Rhinolophus ferrumequinum: one gene and its partner. The protein of the gene in region 1 binds, or shares a complex with, the protein of each later gene. Links are inferred from orthologs where the notes say so. Each region holds a gene or a part of one and is shown in the gene's direction. Other genes may lie near its edges.

What was found.
Region 2: the proteins of ERCC6L (region 1) and BEND3 are in contact, whole or in part, in a crystal structure (PDB 5JNO), measured with the Homo sapiens proteins. The link is inferred for Rhinolophus ferrumequinum from reciprocal best matches to the Homo sapiens genes ERCC6L and BEND3. Residues at the interface, in NP_060139.2 of Homo sapiens: Ala10, Glu11, Ala12, Leu13, Ser14, Pro15, Glu16, Ala18, Ala19, Tyr21, Leu22, Arg23, Lys26, Phe51, Pro52, Asn53, Glu54, Lys55; in NP_001073919.1 of Homo sapiens: Glu252, Gln255, Ile256, Gln259, Leu261, Asp265, Arg269, Val272, Gln273, Pro276, Phe279, Ser280, Phe335, Arg338, Phe339, Gln342, Glu346.

What each region holds. Positions count from the first base shown.
Region 1 is NC_046284.1:1,229,803-1,237,544, forward strand, and holds the start of ERCC6L (DNA excision repair protein ERCC-6-like), read left to right. Parts: upstream 1-4,623; 5' UTR 4,624-4,679; coding exon 4,680-4,747; intron 4,748-7,742. UniProt on the Homo sapiens protein: DNA helicase that acts as a tension sensor that associates with catenated DNA which is stretched under tension until it is resolved during anaphase. Functions as ATP-dependent DNA translocase. Can promote Holliday junction branch migration (in vitro).
Region 2 is NC_046286.1:60,222,843-60,230,404, reverse strand, and holds the start of BEND3 (BEN domain-containing protein 3), read left to right. Parts: upstream 1-4,544; 5' UTR 4,545-4,821; intron 4,822-7,562. UniProt on the Homo sapiens protein: Transcriptional repressor which associates with the NoRC (nucleolar remodeling complex) complex and plays a key role in repressing rDNA transcription.

The sequences.
Region 1 (7,742 bases):
AAAGATTAGGTGCTCCCTGGGAGTCCCTTCCTGGGCTGGCACCAGGGAGGAGCCTTGATCCCATCTTTTGGGATGGCAGGGTCACCATGCAGTGCTGTTCCAGGAGGAGGGTGAAGAAGCTGAGGAGCTCCCAGAAATACCCTTGACCTGGGGAACAAGTAGGTACAGGGTGTCCAGAGGATCCAACAACACCATGTACTGGCTGGAGCCCATCCAATGCTGGCAAGAGGAGTGGCTGGTATAGGTATGCTTGGATCTCTCCCCTTCCCTGGCTCCTGGTCCCCATTATTGCTTTGGAGATATCTCCCACCGGGGGCCCAGTGCTGCAATTTAGGGTTAGTAAATTGACAAATTCATCCATCCATCCATCTAACAAATCCTTATCAGTTACATTATGTAGGGACTGTGCTAAGCTCTGTGAAGCTGTAACTGAAAAAGACAGATCTGTCCTTCACAGCGCTCACATGATCATGGGGGAGCCAGAGAGATTACTGGGCAGCCACATTCCATGGACTAAGTTCAGTGATAGAGGCAGCGTGTGTCACATTGTGTTACAGAGGACCACTGTTGGGAAGGATCATGGAAGGTCCCTGGAACAAGGGAGACCTGAGCTGAGAACCAAGGAGTCAACAGAAGAAAGTCCATGCAGAGGAAACAGCATGTGAGAGGGCCTAGAGGCAAGATGTGAGTAAGAAAGGTGGCTCAGTTAGAGAAGAGTGGTGTGTGTGCGTGTGTGTGTGCACGCATGTGCGTGCGCAGGGGCCATGAAGAAGTGAAACATAAGGTGGAAGAAGCAGTCAGGGACCAGATCAGGAGGGCCGTGTAAGCCATAGCGAGGAGGCAACACTTGATTCTGAGGGAAAGGAGGAGGCTTTGAAGTGTTTAGGCAGGACCATGACAGGATCCATGTTTTTGAAAGATCATTCTGGTTTCTGGGTGTAGCGACAGTGAGGAGCAGGCACAAATAAAAGCAGGAAGAAAGTCAGAAGGCCATTGCAGTGAGCCAGGCAAGAAATGAGGGTGACATAGACCAGACCGGTAGCAGTGGAGAGGGAAAGAGGTGTTTGGGTTTGGGATGTATGTATGTTGGAGGAAGAGCCAACAAGACGTTCTGGTGGATTGGAAAGATGCCTCCAGTTTCTGACTTGAACAACTGGGGTATTGCTAGTGCTGTTCACGGGGATGGGAAATATTGAGGGAACAACTCTAAGGGTGTGTGGGAGATGAATTCAGTGCCATGTGGAGTGAGCTTCTAGGAAGACATGTCCTGTATCCAGTTGGTCATCTAGGTCTGAAACTAAGGAGGGAGGATGAGGCTAGAGACAGAACTGTGAGGTCTTGGGAGTGGATGAGGTAGCACGAAGGGAGAGGAGGATGCCATGTTTTGTGCAGCAGCATTGTCCTGTCAAAGGATGCCCTACCCTTTGGTGCCTGCAGGTTTAGAAGGGAATCATCAAAGACTTGGCAATTTAGTGCAAAGACCCTGCAGATAATCCTAACTCTTGGCTCCTTCTCCCACCCCCCCTCCCCCGTTCCTGTCATTTCCACAGCATCCTGGGACGACTTTGTTAGTTTCCAGTAAGAATTTGTCCAGCTCGGGAGGTGGGGGCGGGGGGAGCATGCCCGCTGCCATTCTCAGGAAATTTGGTTTCCAGCTCCCCCTGCTGGCAGAGCTGGAGATGACCTATGGCTGGGCGCCGAGCGGGACAGAGCGCCTACCTCTTGCTTCCCTCTCCAAAACAGGGGATTAAGACCTCAGCCCCAGCTCCCCTTTCCACCCTCTAAAAAATCCCACCCACTTTAAAACCCTAGCTAGAAACAGGGGGAGAAAACGTAATTAGGCATCTAGGAATCAAATTCTTCCTGCTTCCAAATCACTTCTTTCTCTTTTCTGCCCCAAAGACGATCTCCTTGCCCATGAAGATTCCATGTGGTTATTTATACCTGTCTCCAAAAACACCCTCTCCCAGTGTCAGTCCCCAAGAGCAGCATTCTTCTGACACCCAGTTGGCTTCCTTCCTCCTGCTAGGTAGGAAAGCCATGGTCTGTGCTGGAAAGAGCATGGGGCTGGGAGCCAAGGAACCTAGGTAATGCTCTTCCCTTGCCTTTTTGGTTTAGTTAACTCTTCCTTATCCTTCAGCACTAAGAGCTCAAATGCTACTTCCTCAGAGAAATCTTTCCCAGGCCGGCCAGACTGGGTCAGGTCGCTCATCATCTGCTCTCAGGACTCCCTGGAGTTTGCCTTGTGCGCCCTCATCACAGTTTGTAATTTTCCACATGCTCACGTGATTATTGTTTCAAGTCAACCCCCACCATAAGCTCCTTGACAGCAAGGACCTGTCTGTCTGTTTTGTTCACCACTGTACCCCAGCACCCACATTCTTGCCTGACCATCTCGTAAAGGCTCAACACATATTCATTAAATAAATGAATAAGTAAATGGATGAAGGGATCCCTCTCTTCATCTATCAGCTGCTTTCTATATCTAACCAGTGGAGTATGTAAGAGCAAAACCTCAAAAGCCACACTGCCAGGGTTCGGACCCCAGCTTTACCACTCACAAGCTGTGCAAATTTGTGTAACTTATTCAATATTTCTGTGCCTCAGGTCCCTTATTATAAAGGGAAGACAATAGCAATATACACTAGCTAACAAGGTCGTGAGGGTATGTATAAAGTGTGTAGAACAAGGCCTGGCATTCAAGTGCCCCATCCATCTCTCCATTTACCCATTCTGAACTCTCCCACAAGACCTCATTATCTTATTTGCAGTTTGTGAGTGCGGGTGACTCAGTGTAATTTGCAGAACAGATAACAAAAATTTGTTATTATGGAAAATTTCAAACATGCAGAGAAGTAGAGGATAATGAACCTCTTCTAATAAGCTTCAACAATTATCAACATTCTGCCAATCTATGTTCATCTGTGCCCCTCTCGTTTTTTTCCCCAACTGAAGTATTTTAATGTAAATCCCAGATGTCATATCATTTTATCTGAAAATATTCCATTATGTATCTCTAGCAGATAAGGACTTTAAAAAATACAACAGTACCATTATCACACTTAAAAAATTAACAATAATTAGGGAAGGCTCTTAAAACCCCATCCCCTTGAGAGAAGCTGGGGGAATGGGAGCCCTCCCCTCGGGGTAGATGTGAAATGAGGTACAGCCAAGACAGTTAACGTAAGTAAAAGTGCTTTGAACAGAGTCTGGCAACGTAAACGGGATATAGTAGTAACTATTATTTTGATTCTTTCATTCTCTCCATTTACCTACTATACATCCTCCCTAACTTCTCTGTTGTTTCCAGTCTGTGAATGTGTGTGACCAGTAACAAAGGAGGACTAGGAGCTATGAGTGGTGAGTTTCCCAGGTCACTGGTGCCCTGGGGTGGGAGTGGGGGCTCCAGAACGCACTGAGGAGAGCTCAAAGGAAGCAAGGAGTGCAGGACTGAGGGGAAAGGAAGGAGAGCTGGAGGACTTCATGGGTTTAAAGAAGGGGGAGTCCTGTGGCTGTGTGAAAATGGCACCCGAGAAAAATCCAGTAGCCTAAGGGCAGGGGAGCGGGATGGTTGGTCCTTTCTTCCCAGTGATCAAGGCCTTTGCTCTGCCATTTTCCAGCTCTGGAATCTTAGGCAAAGTCATTTTATCTCTCTGAGCCTCAGTTTTCATCTCTGAAAAATGGGGATAATAGTATACTAAAAGCCCTCCTAAGAGAGGGCCTAGACTTCAAGTCATATAAACCAGGAAAATAGCCCATCTTCTCTGAGATCCCGTTTGTAACGCCCAGTGGTCTATGAAATGTACAAAAAGCTTAAAATCCTCTGGCCATATGGTTGCCATATGACTGGGCCAATTGGTGAGTTTTCAAATACTGAGTGTTAATTACTGCCTTGAGGAATCATAATGTTCTTGTTCTTATCGGTATATGAACAAGAACAATTTTTGTCTCACAACCTCCTATTTGCGTTGCCCAAGCAAGCCATTAAACTCAATCGCTGCGTTCCCAGACCCCCTGAGCTCTGCCTTTGAAAATATGACTACATCTCAATGGGCGCTTCTGAAGAAACGTTGACCATAACGACAGCACTCCTTATTTCTTAAATGAAAGCTTTGGCTCGGTTCCTGTAGACCCTTCTTCAGTGTGAGTTTAAGTCACCGGGTCGATGCCTCCCAGGGTGTTTGAATTCCAAGCATGCTGAATGCCAGGCGTGGGCGAGCAGGGAAGGTAGGATATTTGGGGTGCACGCTGTGGAGGAGGTCTCTAGTGGCTACTAAAATGACAGCTCATATCACGCAGTCTACTCACGAGGACAGCACACACACACACACACACACACACACACACACAGACACACACACACACACACAGACACACACACACACACACACACACACACACACACGGAAGAGCCTCAGCACCGTTTGGATTGGACTGAAAATGCTAGACAAGACGAGGTGACACGCCCACCCCACGCCGCCGGGAGGCCGGACGGCCTCTTAGCTCCAGCGCGCGTAGGCGCAGGCGCACGAGCTTCGTGGGCGGGGCTCAGGCGGTGGTGCCGGAGCGCGGTGTAGCGGATTGGCTAGCCAGAGGCCGACGGTTGGGGCGCATGCGCAGGGCGGGAGCGAACGAAATTCAATCCCGGGCGGAGATACCTGGAACCCAAGCTGAGGGTCATGGAGGCGTCCAGAGGGTTTGCGGAAGCCGAGGTCTTAAGCCCAGAGCAGGCTGCCCATTATCGGAGGTATGTCTGGGCCGCTGGCCGGGAGTGGGGGAGGAGGGCTCTCGAAACTGCTGAGGCCCAGCCTGTGAAACGCGCCCGATTTCTCCGAGTAGGGCGTGGGAATCCGCTCAGATTTCTAAAGCCTGGGGAGCCCGCGGATGCCCTGTTTTTTTTTTTTTTTTGTTTTGTTTTTTTGTTAAATAACTCTCCGTTATGAATTCCTTAAGAGCCAGAACTTCAGTTGATCGAGCCTTTGTTGAGTCTTTGCCGGCCTAGGGCACACAGAGATGAGTGAAACATTGGTCCTGCCACCTGATTGCTTATAAGCTGGTAGTGGAAAGCGGTAGGTAAAGCTGTAAGGTTTGATAGGTGCTGTAAGGTATAACGTGGAAGGCATAATGTGGGCATAAAAGGGGGAGTGGCCAATTACAAGGGTCGCTGGGCTAAGGGAAGGAAGGCCTCACAGGAGGAAGAGGCATTTGTTTTGAAAAATGAGTAAGCATTCACCAGGTGGCTGCGGGGGCGTGGGGAGGGGCATGGTGATGTGGGGATGAGCTTTGAGAAATGCTTTTTTTAAAAAAAGATGTTATTGGGGAAGAGAAACAGGACTTTATTGGGGAACAGTGTGTACTTCCAGGACTTTTTTCCAAGTAAAGTTGTCCTTTCAATCTTAGGTTGTTGCCCTTTCAGTCTTAGTTGTGGAGGGCGCAGCTCAGCTCCAGGTCCAGCTGCTGTTGTTAGTTGCAGGGGGCACAGCCTACCATTCCTTGCAGGAGTCGAACCGGCAACCTTGTGGTTGAGAGCCCCCGCACGCTCCAACCGACTGAACCACCGGTCAGCCCTGAGAAATGTTTTAAATTGTGATAAACTACAACATACAATTTACTATCTTAACCATTCTGAAGTGGTATTAAATACATTCACAGTGTTATACAACCATCAACTCCATCCATCTCCAGAACTGTGTATCTTGTACAGCTAAAACTCTGTATCTGTTAGACAACTGCTCATTGTCCGCCGCCCCAGCCCCTGGCACCCATCATTCTGCTCTCTCCTCTCTGTCTCTGTGAATCTGACTCCTCCAGGGACCCCATGTAAGTGGAATCACACAGTATTCATCGTTTTGTGACCAGGTTATTTCAGTGAGCATTATGTCCCCAAGGTTCATCCATGTTGTGTCATGTGACAGGATTTCCTTCCTTTTAAAGGCTGAATAATATTCCATTGTATGGATAGACCACATTTTGCTTATCCACCGATGGACACTCAGGTTGCTTCCAGCTCTTGGCTGCTGTGAGTGTGGCTGCTGTGAACATGGGGGTGCAGATAGCGCTTCAAGAACCTGCTTCAGTTCTTTTGGGTGTATGCCCAGAAGTGGGATTGCTGGACTACACAGTAATTCTATTTTTCAATTTCTTGGGGAACTTCCATACTGTCTTCTAGAGCAGCTGCACCATTTCACATCCCACCAACAGTGCACAGGGTTCTAATTTCTCCGAGTCCTCATCAACACTTGTTATTTCTATTTTGTTGTTATTGTTACTAGCCATCCTAATGTGTGTAAGGTGGCATCTCTTTGGGGTTTTGATTTGCATTTCCCTGATGATCAGTGATGTTGAGCATCTTTTTTTCTTGGCCATTTGCATATCTTCTTTGGAGAAATGGATATTCAAGTCCTTTGCCCATTTTTCAGTTGTAGTTTGTTTTTGTTGTTGAGTTGTAGTTCTTTATTCTGGATATTATCACCTTCCTTGTCTGATGTATGATTGGCAGATATTTTCACCCATTCTGTGGGTTGCCTTTTCCTCTCTGTTGATTGTGTCCTTTGATGCACAGAAGTTTTAAATTTTGATGTAGTACAAAGAAAGTGGAGCAGTGAGTAGTTCTGTCTCCCTTTCCAAAAAAAAGTAACGTTTTAAGGCCTTTAAAAGCCAAAAGGTCTCCTTACAGAGGGGTAAAAGCCCATTTCTGGGCTATGTTACACGACCACCTTAAGAAAGGCTTGGGGAAAACAGGGAGGCAGTGTGGGGCGGTAGAGTGCTGGCTTTAGAGCTGGGCTTTTTGGGGTCAGATTCCGGCCCTGCCACCTGCTAGCTGGGAGACCTCATGCAAGTCACTTGACTTTTTCTGAACCTTAATTTCCTCTTCTGGAAAATGGTGATAATAAGGCTTAAGGCCTTTAGTCAGCCCTTCCCTCCTTTCTGTGAGCCTGCAAGGGGGCCTATCAGCTTGCACTGGTTCCCCGATACTGCCTCTCACGCTGGCACCTGTCTCTCACTCGCTCCCACGTGCTCTCTCCGGAACATTCTCCGAGTGTCTGTCTCCCACTCCCCTCAGCAACCACCCCTCATCTCGCCATCATCTGCTGCTCTCACAGTCCCCACCTTGCTGTCACAGTTTCCCTATCTTGTGACATCTCACTCATGACCCCTGAACTCTCATAATTCCTCTTTTATTTCTGTCTCTCCCGCCCTCTTCCACCCCCCCTCCCCGAAATCCCCTTCTCATAATTCTGCTCCTTGACACAAACCCGACGCTCACACCATTTCTCTCTTTCTCCCTCCCTCCCTCCCCTTTCTGTCTTTCTCCTTCCCTGTCTCTCTGCCTCTCCCGCCTAAGAGAGGAAAGAAAACTTTGAAACTTGCTGTCACACCTTCTCTGCACACGGGTTTTCTTTTTCACACCCCTTCATTTTCTGTCACATATGATGACTGTCACACACTCTGTGTCAGCCCACCAGCTCCTCTCTTGCCCACCCTCTCACTCTGATACTCACTGCCCACTTGTACTCTCTGTATCCCCCACGTGCTTCCACTCTCTGTTGCCCCCCTGCCCCATTGCCCCTTATTTCTCTGGCACTCTTCCCACCCCTCCCCCCCCCCCCCCCCCCCGTCTCTGTGGGACGGTGAATAGTTCTGTCACCCATTATTTCTCCCTTTGTGTCACCCGTTCTCCCTCTCTGGCACTCCTGTTCTCTCTCTCGCTCTCTGCCATTGTTTCTCTTTGTCACCCACCT
Region 2 (7,562 bases), on another chromosome or scaffold:
TATCCATAAAAAAGAGTACCTTCCTTTTTTCTAAAGCCTACATAGTATGCCACAGCATATGTCATTTATTTAACTATTTCCCACGTTCTAATTTTTTGCTATCATGAACGATCCTGCAGTGAACATCTCTGTAGACTGGCCTTGGTTGAGTATTACTCTGGGATAGATTCCTAGAACTGGAATCATTGGATCTCCAGTGTATTTCTATGAGGTGTTTCATTTTAAAGAAAAGATTTTAGGCAAGTCAAAGAAGATATATATGTGTATACACACACACACACACACACACACACACACATATATACACACATATATATGATTTAATTTAGAGTCTTTTGATTCACAGCATGAAATAATTATTTTAAAAACCGGCCAATTAGTGCAGCAGTATGTCTCCTTTTTCTTCTTTTTTAATGGGGTCTGATTGGCTGGGGAACCAGCCTCCCCCTGCTCCCTGCTTCCTGCCTGTCGCTGTAATTGTGGGATCAGTGTGGAGACTCCTGACTGCAGGCCCTTGGGCGCCCCTCTGGGCGAGGGGGCCCTGGTGGCTACAGCGCCTCCAGCCAGCACTCTGGGCTCAGAGCAAACTATAGTTTGGATTGGCATTTGTTTTCTCAAGGGCTTGAAACTGAGAATGGGATTGCAGCAGATTTCTCTCTCCCTGATATTTCTTTTTGCAGAATCCTATTGTGTAAGCCAGATACTCCACTAAAACCAGATCCTAATGGCTGTGTTGGGTGCATCACATCTCAAGCTGCTATAAATTATTCAATAGTTCTTCTACACATAAGAAAAACTGCCCATCACAAATTCTCTGCAGCTTTTCATTCTAAACCTCATTTTTCGCCTTGTGTCATTTACCTGTTCCGAATTCCACTGAAGGTAGTTGTTTCCCCCCGACAGCACACAATGGGTCAAACTCAACTCCCCGAGCCCAACTTTCCAACCAAAAGTCAGTTTTGCAAGTTATTTAGCAAGGTGTGTCTTTCTATAAGTTGTTTTAATAAAGTTAATACATGCCTCTCCGCCCCTCCTTTTTTTCCCCTCTTACTTCTGTTTTGAGTAGTTACAGAATCTGGATGTGCCAGCAACTTTGTTTGAAGTTGAAGACTTGGCAAAATTATGCACCCAGCGTGCAAGAAACAAAGTGAAAATGTCTCACAAATCACAGTGAAATCTGTTGCGTTGTTTTAAGACTTAACTAATGAAGAAAAAAAAAGCCCTAGTAAATATTGTCTTGGCAACTATATATTTTAGCAGTGATAAAACCTTTAGAGGAACAGTTAAAAGATAATCTGAAACCTAATGTCTGTCTGCCACTTTTAATGATATATATTTACATTATATCCCACTCTTTTTGCATTCGAGTTTTTAGTGTTTTATAGGATTCCTTTATATGACCAACAAGCTGCATTTACTCAGGTAAAATTGGAAATGAGTTCATTAGATCAGTTGCAGCAGCTCTAATTTGAAATCTTGGAAAATGCATTTCTAATTAAGAAATTTCCAATCAAGCAGACCTCTAAAACTCAGGTTGGTGTTTTTTTCAGGTCTTTCTGCACATCCTTACGAAGCCTGGTCTATCATTCCTCCTGACTTTTTAGCATTGGGTTGGACAGAAATTGTGTTTTCCCTTCCTCATTCCTCTCCTCATCTTACTCCATGTTTATTCATATTTTTTCCATAAGGCATTACTATTAGCCAATAGCACTTTCAGAACTATTCATTTTTAAGACTCCAAAATACAACTGCAAATACAACTATTCCAATGCAGGGGGTTACACCTTCATGTACTATTTTCCCTTCCTCCTGTTAAGACAAAAACCACAGGCCTAAAATGGCATCACTTGTGCTAAAAGCCCATGACACGAAACCTAGATTTAATATCTGATCTATTTACAGTTTCAACCTTTCCCAGAAATATAATCTTAAACAACCAGTCTGGAATTTTCTGGTCAAGCACCAGTAAGGTAAGAGGCAATTTGCATGATAAAAACCTTTCCCATTCCCCTCCCCCCAAAGATGTCCTGGCCTAAAAAATAATCCTTTCTTTTCTTTTGTTAATAGTTTCCTTATCCCACCCTTCTTCCTATAAAATCCTTCCAGTTTTGTACAACCCCTGGAGCGCCTTTTTAGTTGCTAGATGGGGGCCCTGCCCAATTCATGAATTGCTTAATAAAGCCAATTCTTCAAATTTACTCAGTTGCATTCTGTTTTTTAGCTCATTAAAAAAAGAAACTCATAATATACAAAATCATTTGAAGGTAGGTAGTTTCCTTTCTTAGATAGCAATGATTTCTATTTCTGTTAATAATTTATTTGGAATAAACAGCTTGCTTTGTTAAGTAGATTGATCCAGTTGTGTAAATTAGGATACATATTTACAATAATTCTCAAGGTCACTTTGTAATTTCTTGAGAGATGTTTTGAAGTCAGTTATGTCAATTAAGCATCTTGTTTGCCTTAGATGCTATTTTTTAGTAAAATTATTGTATTTGAGAAAAATCTTTGGTTTCAAACAGTATGAACAAAGAAATGTTAATTTCTATTATTTAATTCCTATTGTCTTTTATTATTTAATTTATCCTTAAATACCTGAGTTGTCACTGGAACGACTGACTAAAGATAAATGCTTCACAACACACATTTCATCTAGTTCCTTTTATAAAAATTTAACACGGTCATTTTACATTTTTAAACCACTTTGCATCCACTTTAAAAATGCTAAGTGAGCTCAAATACGTCTTAACTCTTCCTAACTCTCCTACTGGGAAACCTTAGAAAACTGAACGAATGAAATGCAACTTATACTTTTTAAATTCTAATTATGGCTGTCATATTAAATTGAAGGTGAGACTGCTGTATCTGTATAAGTCAAGCGATGTACTACTATATCATGTGTTATTTAATGTGCGAGTGTAAAAGTCAAGTTCCCGGCAGAAATCCAAGTGCCTCCATTCTGTCTTCTGGGAATGTATAAATTAACCATTCACCCCCAAGCGGTCCTCCTCCCTTCCTCCCTCCACCCTATTTTAAATGTAGATAGGGGACTCAAGTCTTTTGAATTTGAAGGGCTGCTTGCTATCTCAGCCCCATTCTTTTCATCATCCTGTTTTGAATGACACTGAGCACGTATAGATTCTTTTATAAAACCACTCCCTCGGTGCAGGGCTCCGTTCTCCTGGCAGCTTGCTAATTTTGCATAGCCATTAGTACTGACTTCTCAAAATGGGCTACCAAATACAGTTCGAGAATGTTCCACGTAGTTCTTCAAAGGTCTTGAATAACCCAGTGCTTTTGGATTTCAAACCTGAAGGGGAGGAACTTGAATAATTACTAAATTCCCAGTTGGAGTGCTCTGGAGGATAAGGTAATCCAAAACTATACGTTAAATCAAACCCTCTCCGCGACTGGGCAGCAAGGAGCCAGCATAAGCCTTATTTTAAAATCTATTCTACCTATTCAGTGACCACACAGGGCTGGGCCACATGGTCGTGTCTTGCAGCCAGTCAGCTGTGAGCAGCAGATGGGATCATTTGCATTTTTCTTCTTATACTTTCTTCGATCGGCAAATTAAAGTTTCTTTTTTAAATTTATTCTCGTTATTTGCTTAAAGTATAAACGTGGTTTAACTGTTGAATTGGGCTTCCTTGACCCTCACACACCACACCCCTTCAAGTCTCTGAGACTTGTGAAAATACTCGAGGGGCAGGTTGCATATTTATCAAGTCGAACTCTCCCATCCGGGAGTTAGGAGTTTAAAGAATCAGCCTTTATTGAAATGGTGACGCGTGCTTTTCTATTTTAAGCGCTGGGCGCAGATATCCCGTGGGTTTGTCTGGCATGTGGGTCTGGGAGCGCGCGCACTTCTGAATCTCTCGCTCTGCAGCCTCAAACCTTAAAACTTAGGGTTACAAGTAAAAGGCAGATGTTTAGCTCTCAGGCTCACAACAGAGGGCGGCCACTCCGCTGGGGGAGTGGCCAGAGCCAGCGTTTCCCAGCGCCAGGGTCGCTCTCCCGCGGCCCGCGACTCCATGCCGGTTCCGCCGGGGCCACTGGGGTCCCTGCGCCCCGATGTCTTTGTGCCGAGCTCGGCGCGGGAACACCCGCCCGGGGGGGCCAGGGCACCGCGGAAATGCCAAGAATTCGGGACTGGCGCTGGCTCTAGGGGAGGTAACGCCCCGCACAGTCGCCGTCCCGCGGAGAAAAAAAAAGTAGAAAAAGAGGCTTTTCAGGTCAAACTCCTCGGGTCTGAGCAACCACGTTTTAGAGAAATGACTCGCGGGGGGAGAACACACAGAGTGCCGAGGACATTGTTAGCCAGCGCTGCCCCAGCGCGTCGTGGGTACGCGACCGCTGCCCCCGCCCGGGCAACCGGCGCGGGCCCACGTGGAGCAGCGCGGCGCCGGCGGAGCGCGCCGGGCCGCTCGGGTCCCTGGAGTGCGCGCCCCAGCTCCCCGCCGCGGCCGTTCACGCCCGAACGCCGCCGCCGGTCCCGCGTGTGCCCCGCTGAGGGGGAGGGGCAGGCCGGGGGTGGGGGCGGAGGGGTTGTGGTTCCACTGCAGCGGGGGCTCCTGTGTCCTTGTGCGGAAATGACACACGGAGTCCCGTCACGTCACGCGAGAGCGCAGCGCACGGACACACACAAAGAGAGGGGAAAATACACGGCGCCCGCCCGCCGCCCCCAGCAACTCCCCGGGCCGCCCCGGCCAGGCCCTCCGCGCGAGGCCCCCACTCCTCAGCCCTGCGCTCCCCCGCACCCCACGTGGCGCCCAAACTCGGCGCGGGCCCGCTCAGCAAAGTACAGAACTCGTGTCCCAGGTAAGTGCGGGGCGGATCAAGCCGGCTGCGCGGTGGCGGCGGCTCCAGGGCAGACGGACGGGAGAGTGGCTGCAACATCCATGCCGGGGTGGGGGCGGGAGCAGGGGAGGGGACGAAAAGGGGGGCTGCCCTAAGCGCGCCCGCCGGGAGGAGCGCCCACCCCCACGCAGGGCCGAGCCGCCGGAGCGGGCGCTCGGCGCCCACGGGCTCACCGCGCCCATTGTGCCGCGCGCCCCTTTGTGCCGCTCGGAACGCCGCGGCTCCATGGCGTCCCCGGGAGCACGCGCGCCGCGCGGGGGCGGGGGGAACGCGGAGTGGAACGGTCCGTGCTGGCGCCGCTGCGCGCCCCACTCGCGCCGCACGCCGGCCCAGCACCCCCGCCGGGCGCCGCGATGGAGCGGCCGGCGCCGCCGGAAAGGCTCTGCGGAGCCCGCGGGGGCTCGGCGCTCGCGCTGGGCCAGGCTGCAGCGGGGGACGGCTCGGCGTGTAGAAGGGGGTGTCAGAGCGGAGCAGGGGGCGGGGACTGGAGCGAGATGCCGAGCGGGGCGCGGGAGGCCGGAGGAGCCGCCGCTCGGAAGGACGCTGCTTCGGGAGTCTGTAAATGGAGCGAGGCCGGCCCGCGGCGGCGGCGGCGGCGGCGGCGGCGGCGGCGGCCGGGAGCGGACGGAGATGGGCCCCGCCGCCAGGGGGCGCAGCGCTCCGTCCCGACCGTCCACGGCGCGGTTCGCGGTTCCCGCTGCCCGGGAGCTGGAGGCGGGCCCGGCCTTGGGTGTGCACCCCGGCTGGCGCAAGGCCTTCCCGTCCGGCCGCGGACTGGAGCCTGGGGCGCTCGCCGTTGCTCCTGCCTGCCTTTCCCTCTCTATTGCAAACGTGATTTCCCACGCAGACTTTGCCCTCGCCTTATCGGTGAGTTGTGCAGTCCTTCCTGTAAGGACTTGTGTACCGAGACACAAGGTGGTTTTTCAGAGGTAAGAGTTTGATTGCTCAGGTGGCTTGTCTGGAAGAATTTTACACACCAACGCTAACCAGACAAGAGTGCGCAAAATAGGGCTAAGCACTTGAGAGTCGTAAATGGTCAATTTCACCTATTTAAAGTAACTTGAATGCTTAACGTGTCACTACACAACACGTAAGGTGCCAGAACACTACAGCTGCAGGAAACTGAGGCAAGGAAGTGAGCTCTTGCTAGCTCTGTATGTAAGCTTGAGGAGATGGAGGAGGTTCTTTTGGTGTCCACACCCCTAACCCCACCCCCGAGTTTATTTTTTTAGCCTACTGTCCCTAGTTTATGGTTTTGTATCACCATATAGGACCCTGTCTGCCTCCTTCACTCTCAGTACTGAGTTTTGCACAAGATTTTGTGTCTTAACCGCTTTACATCCCCAGTCACTAACTTAGTAGGTGCTCAATAAGTATTTGCTAAATGAATGGAGAGCCTCTTGGATTCCAGAAGAAAGGTGGGGTCAGTGCAGCCTGAACCTGCTGGTGGGTTAACCCGTCTGCATGGCCCTTGAACTGAAATTCACAGATCAAACCAGAACCTTTAAAATCTGACACTCAAAAACTCCCGCCACTGAATGTGGTTGTTACCAGAGATGAAAAGTTTGGGGGTATGTAAATTTTATAATGTAGAAACACATGAAGGTTTCCAGCCAACCAGCAAAAGCAATTTAGTGTTAGTGTAGGGGAGGTTGGGGTGTAGCATTTTTTTCTGGCACTTAATTTTGATGACAAGTGGTGATTATGGTTGCTACCCTTATTTTTCATTGTGCCCTTTATTGGCTAAATAAGTTTGGGGAATTATGTATAGAATTAATCTTTGGGGTGACAACTTTTTTATAGCCTCCTCTCGCTCGTGGTTACAGGGATGTATACATGTGTCCTTTCATAGAACTGTACATTCCTCTCTCCCCCAGAGTGAATTTTACTATATAATTTAAAAAATAAAATTTAAAGTCCCCAAAAGCACACATGCCCAAAACATGGATATTTTAATGTGCTTTGTGAACATCACCTTGCTCTTGCTGTGTCTTTTCCCCTCCAGATTGGACAATTGCTCTTCTCCCCCTTCTGATGCTCCAGTATCTCTTTCAACATTATTATTTCAGCCCAGAGCCCTTGTGGTTTCTGGAACTACCGTGTTTCCCACAAAATAAGACCTCACCGGAAAATAAGCCCTACTATGATTTTTCAGGATAACATCCGCTGAACATAAGCCCTAATGCGTCTTTTGGAGCAAAAATTAATATAAAAGCAGGTCTTATTTTTGGGGAAACACGGTAGCTGCCACACATGACCCCCACATGCCAAGCTAAGAGCTCTCCGTGCTGGCTGGCACCAAGCCTTCGGTGTGTCACACAGGAGACGTGCTGGTTCCCTCCGAGTGATGGTTACTGCCTGGCATGTTCATCCCCGAATGACCAGACTTTTACAAACTGTTGCTTTAGAGCTGAGTTGTTCTCAGCAGCTCTCCTGGTAACATGCCCTTCCTCCATTTTTCATCCAACTTGAAACATAGGTATTTAAATTCAGCCCTCTTAGTGTTTTGTTCTACCAAGGACCACCTTTCCTCTTGTCTGATTTTCAGTTATCATTGGCCAGTGAAACACAGTTGCATCAGTATCTATAAAGGTATTGGTTGCTCAGTTGAACATCACTTAATGGTCTTTTCTTGTATGCAAGAGGCTGTTGGTTTGAGCATGGAGCTAGTAAATAAAAGGATGGAGGCTTGGGGTCAGGGG